2 linked regions of the Macaca fascicularis genome follow. The protein of the gene in region 2 binds, or shares a complex with, the protein of the main gene of each other region. Links are inferred from orthologs where the notes say so. Each region holds a gene or a part of one and is shown on either strand. Other genes may lie near its edges.

What was found.
Region 1: BDP1 (region 2) and BRF2 share a complex: the UniProt entries of both Homo sapiens proteins name them as parts of the TFIIIB complex. The link is inferred for Macaca fascicularis from reciprocal best matches to the Homo sapiens genes BDP1 and BRF2.

What each region holds. Positions count from the first base shown.
Region 1 is NC_088382.1:41,227,274-41,231,650, forward strand, and holds the start of BRF2 (transcription factor IIIB 50 kDa subunit), read right to left. Parts: upstream 3,018-4,377; 5' UTR 2,925-3,017; coding exon 2,771-2,924; intron 1,799-2,770; coding exon 1,739-1,798; intron 616-1,738; coding exon 294-615; intron 1-293. UniProt on the Homo sapiens protein: General activator of RNA polymerase III transcription. Factor exclusively required for RNA polymerase III transcription of genes with promoter elements upstream of the initiation sites.
Region 2 is NC_088380.1:75,497,754-75,501,569, forward strand, and holds part of BDP1 (transcription factor TFIIIB component B'' homolog), read left to right. Parts: intron 1-622; coding exon 623-659; intron 660-1,141; coding exon 1,142-1,234; intron 1,235-3,658; coding exon 3,659-3,816. UniProt on the Homo sapiens protein: General activator of RNA polymerase III transcription. Requires for transcription from all three types of polymerase III promoters. Requires for transcription of genes with internal promoter elements and with promoter elements upstream of the initiation site.

The sequences.
Region 1 (4,377 bases), on a different chromosome or scaffold from region 2:
TGTCTCTACTAAAAATGCAAAAAAAAAAAGAAAGAAAGAAAAATTAGCTGGGCATGGTGGCAGGCACCTGTAATCCCAGCTACTCTGGAGGCTGAGGCAGGAGAATAGCTTGAACCCAGGAGGTGGAGGTTGCAGTGAGCTGAGATCACACCACTGCACTCCAGCCTGGGTGACAAGAGCGAGACTCCGTTTCAAGAAAAAAAAAAAAAAAAAAGAGAGATGGCCAAAGGTCAAAGGATTCAGGTCTAAGGACCCATTCCATCCCATCCTACTGTCTCCCACCAGGAAGGTACCTGCTGCAATAGGTCTTCACCAGTTCTGCCAAGCACAGAGATGGCACATCCAGTCCCAGGAGCTTTACTATCTGCATGTAAATGCTAGAAAACACATCCAAATCTGCATACAACAGCGTGCAGATGGCTCCCATTGTTAGGGGCCAGTTATGCTGTCGGCAGGTGATTAAGACGCAGCACCCAACCAACACCTCCTTCTTTTGCAGCCTGGCTGCTCGGATGCCAGAGTGCCGGTATGCCTGTTGGTAGTAGGCAACCGCGGTGTCCTCAAATGTTGGTGGCAACTGCAGAACTCGACAAAGGTCTCTCACTCGGCGGAGACCTAGGAAAAACCCACAGCAAAAGTTAGAGGGGTCAAAGGAGCTATCGGGCACCTCCTAGAAAATTCTGCTAGGACTCATTTAGATCTGCTAAACTTGCCTCAGATATCAGACGCACAAATTATGTACCTTTCTGGATAGACAGGAGTGACACTTGGTACAGTCATTCTAAAGACACAAAAACATCTGTGTAAAGAAGTCACATTTCAGCCCACTAGTTTTTGCAGGCTGATTTGATTCAGGGCCAAGCCAGTTTTATCCAGGCTCTTAAAGGCTACCTCAAACATACATCTGATCAAACCCAAACCTTATACTGAATTGCTGCCTCTCTCAGAACCATCCCTGTTTTATTTTATTTCATTTTATTTCATTTATTTTATTTTCTGAGACAGAGTCTGGCTCAGTTGCCCAGGCTGGAGTGCAGTGGTGCCATCTTGGCTCACTGAAACCTCCTCCTTTTGGGTTCAAGCGATTCTCCTGCCTCAGCCTCCCGAGTAGCTGGGATAACAGGTGTGCACCACCAGGCCCAACTAATTTTTGTATTTTTAGTAGAGGCGGGGTTTCACCATGTTGGCCAGGCTGGTCTTGAACTCCTGGCCTCAAGCGATCTGCCTGTCTCAGCCTCCCAAAGTCTGGGATTACAGGTGTCAGCCACCATCCCCATTTTAAATTCCTAATTACCATTCTCTTCTACTCTACCTCACACCAGCAATGCTGAAAATAGGAAAAGTGAAAAGCTGGACTAGGCCACCAGGATAGTTTTCTTTTTTTAATTATTATTTTTTTGAGACAGACTGTCACTCTGTCACCCAGGCTACAGTGCAGTGGCACAATCTCAGCTCACTGCAATCTCTACCTCCCAGGTCCAAGTGATTCTCCTGCCTCAGCCTCCCAAGTAGCTGGGACTACAGGTACGAGCCACCATGCCCAGCTAATTTTTGTATTTTTAGTAGAGATGGGGTTTCGCTATGTTTGCCAGGCTGGTCTCGAACTCCTGACCTCAGGTGATCCACCTGCCTTGGCCTCCCAAAGTGCTGAGATTACAAGATTACAGGCGTGAGCCACAGCACCCAGCCTAGGATAGTTTTCTTTAAAGCTACTGTGTTGTAAAAGGTCAATTCTCACCTCGTTGCTGGCTGCGACTAATTTGTTCATTTTCCCCTGTGCTTCGGGAATATGTTACCTCTGTAAAATAATAAACAACAAATAGTGTGCTTAGCCTTTATACATCAGACCCCTGCCCTCCCACCACACAAAACCAGGACGCAGAATTCAAATCATTGAGCATCTGCTGCTGCACAGTTAAAGGCCCCATCTGATTTTCTGTCTACAAGCGGTTCCGAATACACAGAGACTGGGAAAGGTGAGGACTGCACTAAAGCAGCTCCAAGTGTTCCAAATTTCCAGTCATCCTTCCAGTACATTCCATACAGGCAATTTTTCTAGTAGCAGATTTTTTTTTGTTGTTTGTTTAAGGAGTCTCCCTCTATAGCCCAGGCTGGAGTGCAGTGGTGCAATCATAGCTCACGGCAGCCTTCAATTCCCAGGCTCAAGCAGGCCTCCTAACTCAGACTCCTGGGTAGCTGGGATTACAGGTGTATGCCACCACACCTGGCTAATTCTTAATTTTTTTTTTTTAGGCAAGTATCTCGTTACGTTGCCGAGGCTGGTCTTGAACTCCTGGGCTCAAGCATTCCTCTCGGCTCTGCCTCCCAAAGCGCTGGGATTACAGGCTTAAGCCACTCCACCCAGACAATGGCTGCAGATTTTGAGGGCTGCCATGGTCAGAAACTTGGAAAGCAAAGCAAAGTAATGTTTTTCCAGTTTGTGCTTAAAACTATTTCAGGGTAATAATACATGCTATAATCATATCGGCAATCCTTCCACAATGACCAGATATGGCAAGATGAGTGGAACTTTCTGTGTCACTTACTCAACATTTATTACCCTCTCCATCTATGCCCTACACTAAGTGCTGGAAAAACACAGATGAATGGCAGCCCCCATCTCCTTCGGCTCCCTCGCTCACTTTAGGTCATTTTCTCTCATATTAGGAGTGCGCGTTACAGTTAGGAGTATGCGGGGGGAGCGGGGAGACAAAAGGAATCTGATGTTAATCCCTCCACCGCCCCAGGCTGTCCCCAGGGCCACAAGTACCTCGGAGATTGCCCTCGTCGCTGAAGGTAGTGGTCAGGACCCCCTCGGTGACCACGCAGCCGCAGTCGGAGCACACCAGCTGGCTCTGCGAATAGTGTGAGTCTTCCACCAGCTCCGTGGAGCCGCAGTCAGGGCAGCGGCCTCTGCCTGGCATCTCACAACCGGCCCCAAAGCCGCGGAAGCCTTCGGAGACTCCTGCGTCTGCAACAGCAACCGTGCGGCAGCAAAAAGTAGGAGGGGACCCTTCAGAGGGTTGCACCTTCGTCTTCCGGCCAGCGCCACGGCGGGATAGGCGGTTCCCTCCGCGGGGAGGCTGAGCGCCACTTCCGGTCGGTTCCTCCGCGGGCTCGGGTAGAAACGTGAGCTAGGAGAGGAGGTTCCTGGTCTGAACTGTAGCTCTCTGGTTTCCCTGCTCTGTGTAGTTAGTTTTTGGGACCCAGACTGGGGCTTGAATTTGGGTAGGTTTCTGCCTACATGGACACGTATAATAGACAGGAGATTGTTGTCACCCCTGAACAACCCTCCTTTTAAAGTCCTAAGGCAATCGCAGGTTGGTAATGAATGTTTAATTTGGCCATAGAAGAAAGTATATTTTTTAAAGGGAGAGTAGTGGAGAGAGAGCGAGAGCAGGAAACTGTGTTCTGCTTTCCAGAGCTGCTTCCTAAAGCAGGTACCTTCCTCTCTTTACCTCCTGTTTTTCTCAACTGTAAAATGAGGAAGTTGAAATAAAATCCGGAGTGGCAAACCCAAATGCTTTTGGAGGCCAGGCAGGAATGTCTAAAGGAGTTTGGAGTGAACGAATGTGGAGTGATGGAGCTTTTGGCAACCTGGAGGAGTGCAAGCACGCGGATTCAGATGTTCCTTAAAAAAAACCTTGAGCTAGCCGGGCGTGGTGGCTCACGCCTGTAATCCCAGCACTTTGGGAGGCCGAGGCAGGTGGATCACCTGAGCTCGGGAGTTTGAGACCAGCCTGGGGAACATGGTGAAATCCCGTCTCTACTGAAAATACACAAAAATTAGCTGGGCGTGGTGGTGCACGTCTCTAATCCCAGCTACTCGGGAGGCTGACGCAGGAGAATCGCTTGAACCCAGGAAGCGCACGTTGCAGTGCGCTGAGATCGCGCCACTGCACTCCAGCCTGGGTGGCAGAGCGAGACTCCGTCTCAAACAAAACAAAACATACCTTTATGAAGTGCCAGTCCCTTCTTTTCCACACCCAGTTTTTACGCGTGATATCCAAACCTAAAAACACCATCCCCTCCCTAAGAGACTGCTTTCTCAGAGTGTGAGAATCACTACTCCTTTTCAAAGACATCCCATCCATTCCCATGGGGCTTGATCACATTGGAGGGCCAAGGGACACAATAATACCCAAGGGTCCTTTCTCTTCCATTTGAATTACTTTAGTATCATAACAGAAGGGGGCTTCAGGACATTAATAATGGTGGGCTTTGGCAGTCCAAGCCCCCCACCCTTTTCTAGACCTCCCCACTAGCGTGAGATATAGGATGAGAGTTTATTTCTGGCTGTCTGACAGTTAAATATTAAGATACATTTGCACATGTGCACGCGCACACACACACCACTCAGAAACATGTATTAGTTTT
Region 2 (3,816 bases):
AGAGCAGTTTTGGTTCACATAGACTCTCACCTTTGTTAGCAAATTTTCAGATTTTCTTGAACAGATATTTCTTCGTTTGCTTTTTGTCGCTAGGATCATTTTCAGAGGCTGTTAAATGTTTTGTTTTTAAAATCGGTTTCACTGAGGAGTGGGTCAGTGAAGCTTCTCAAGCTGTCGCTCTGGACATTGGTTCTGTAACTTCTTAATTTATTAAAATGCGTTTAAGTTTTAAGCTACGTAGGATTATAAAAATTTTGCAATACCCTTCAGGCCTTGGTTTCCATTGGTAAAAATTGGCAGCAGATATGACTAGAGTTGAAGGATTATGAAAATGAAGAAGTAAAGTAAGAATGGTAGACATACATAACAATATGATAAGAGTTAAAATTTGCACATAATACAATATAAAGATAAAATCAGGAGCAAGAGACACAAAAATTTTGCCTTTAAATTATTTCTGTTCTTGCTGGTGAAATTTTGTGAATAATTATAAATTAAGACAAACCAGTTTATGCTATTGTAACTCAAAGTATGGAAAGACCTCTAAAAATGTAGTGCGTGTTGAGAAACAGAACATGTTTGGAGAAATATTTAAGATATTACTTATTTTTTTCATTTTTAGGAAATGACCACAGGTGAACATATCCAAGATGAACCAGGTAACTGTTATCAAGGAAACTGCTAAGACTACCTTGATTAACACTAGTACAATCATTTAATAGTGGGGATAATAAATGAATCAGTTTGCTGGAGAGTTTAACAAAAAGATTCAGCTATTGAATGTGTTATCTCTGTGAGAAATGTGGATTCTTAGAATGTTATTTTAGAAGGTGAATTAAAAGTTAAATGTTTAAGAAATATTTGAGCGTTTCCTCTGGATCTGTACAAATGGGAGAGCATTTTCCTTGAAGATATTATTTAATGGGAGGGAGGCATGGTCAGTGAGTCAAAACCAACAGTGATGATTTATTTATCTGTAACATATAACCTGAACAAAAGACTACCCTATTAAGGGATTAATGGTTCAGAGGATATTGGAATCTGCTACTAGGAGATAAACACCTCAATTAAAAATATTTTTTAAGTGAACAGATTTCCAGATTCATTCTTTTGTTTTAATGTTGATATATTTCCTCACAAGGTACCAGTGATGGAAGCACTGAAGCTGCAATAACTTTACTTACAATGGGAGATCTAGTATTGCAATCAGAGATCAGTACTGAACAGGGTGATGGTAAGAATGAAAGCTAAGTCCTACCAAAAATAGAAACTTTTAAAACCTAACTTTTAAGAAATTATACCCACATTTGGCCGGGCGCGGTGGCTCAAGCCTGTAATCCCAGCACTTTGGGAGGCCGAGACGGGCGGATCATGAGGTCAGGAGATCGAGACCATCCTGGCTAACACAGTGAAACCCCGTCTCTACTAAAAATACAAAAACTTAGCCGGGCGAGGTGGCAGGCGCCTGTAGTCCCAGCTACTCGGGAGGCTGAGGTAGGAGAATGGCGTGAACCCGGGAGGCGGAGCTTGCAGTGAGCTGAGATCCGGCCACTGCACTCCAGCCTGGGTGACAGAGTGAGACTCCGTCTCAAAAAAAAAAAAAAAAAAAAAAAGAAATTATACCCACATTTGAGTAATAACCCTTTTACATTTGAAGTTGTCTCCATTTTGTTGTTCTTCCATAAAATGTGATATGTATATATTGATCTATCCACTATTTGACTACTGTTTAGGTATAGTGACAGCCAATTCAAGATCGTACACTTGGTTTATTAAGAATAATTTGTATTCAAGCCGGGCATGGTGGCTCACACCTGTAATCCCAGCACTTTGGGAGGTCAAGGCGGGTGGATCAGGAGGTCAGGAGATCAAGACCATCCTGGCTAACACTGTGAAACCCCATCTCTACTAAAAATACAAAAAATTAGCCGGTCATGGTGGCGGACGCCTATAGTCCCAGCTACTTGGGAGGCTGAGGCAGGAGAATGGCGTGAACCTGGAACCTGGGAGGTGGAGCTTGCAGTGAGCCGAGATTGCACCACTGCACTCCAGCCTGGGCAACAGAGCGAGACTGTGTCTCAAAAAATAAACAAACAAACAAATAAATAAATAAAAAGAATAATTCATATTCATGGAATAGTTGCTCTAGTGAATACTGCCATTACCATCATGAATGTCATTGGTTAACTGAGCTCATTGATCATTGATCACTTTATACATGTGTCTTTAGCCAAGGAGTTGCTGCTTGGGATGGTATTCACAATTAGATGACAAATACGGTACAAAGAGACAATAGCACTCATTGAAATAATTTAGTTTAAACTGTTCTCAGTTTGGACAGAGCCAAAAGATTTATCAACCAAGATTTTTAATTTATTAGACGGAAATCACAGACAGGTGATAAATCTTTACTATCTAACTATCTTTTAAGTGCATGAAATGAGTAATTATACTATTCCTGGTAATTATTTTGCTTGGTTATGAGTACTCTACCGTTCATTTTATTTACTTATTTATTTGAGACGGAGTTTGATTATGAGTAGCCTACCATTCATCTTTATTTATTTATTTATTTGAAGCAGAGTCTCACTTTTGTCACCCAGGCTGGAGTGCAATGGCGCAATCTCGGCTCGCTGCAACCTCTGCTGCCCAGGTTCAAGCAACTCTCCTGCCTCAGCCTCTCGAGTAGTTGGGATTACAGGCACCTGCCACCATGCCCAGCTAATTTTTGTGTTTTTAGTGGAGTTGGGGTTTCACTTGGCCAGGCTAGTCTCGAACTCCAGACCTCAGGTGATCCATCTGCCTTGGCCTCCCAAAGTGCTGGGATTACAGGCATGAGCCACTGCGCTAGCCTCCATTCATTTTAAGTAATAGACTTTTGGGCCGGATGCGGCAGCTCAAGCCTATAGTCCCAGCACTTTGGGAGGCCAAGGCTGGTGAATGCTTGACTTCAGGAGTGGAACTCTGTCTCTATAAAAAATACAAAAAATTAGACAGGCATGGTGGTGTACGCCTGTAGTGCTAGCTGCTTGGGAAGCTGAGGTGAGAGGATCGCTTGAGCTCAGGAGGTCAAGACTGCAGTGAGCTGAGATCGTGCCACTGCACTCCAGCCTGGGTGACAAAGTGAGACCCTGTCTCCAAAGTAGATAGGTAAAAACGTATTAGACTTTTAGGCTTGGAACCATATATTTATCAGGAAAGTCTCTGGTTTGTGTTCTGTATAGGGCTCCTTTCTTAGTGGCAGAGTATTGCAGTAGAGCCTGTCAGAAACATATAGAACATAAAGTACACATAGAACATAAAGGTTTTAAAAATCTTAAATGCTGGCAGTGCCGTCTATCTTGAAATCCATCTGAGATTATATAATTACTCAAAATAACAAAAGGACTCATTTTTACTAATAATTGCATAAAATTTCAGTCTATAAGGATTATTAAGCTCACAATAGGTCAAATCCCTGGCATGAAATAGGGAGATCATAAATTTAAATTTATAGCCAACAAGAGCAAACTTTATTTATTTTTTAAATCTTTTTCTATTGCTGCCACACAAATGAAGCAAACTTTAATAATACAGAATTTTACAGTTACTAAATGTTGAAGAATTTATTTTGAGCATCTAATTTGGTCCATTTTAATTTTTTTTTTTTTTTCTTCAGTAGGGGTATGTATACTTCCTCATGTACATTCAAAGGATAAAAGCCATATTCCTTTTAGCCTAGATAATGTAAATCACAAAATTGTTCATGAATGTCAGGAGCTTTCTTCACCTGTCATTACTACATCTCCTGCATCATTTGAAGAAAACAAGATTGTA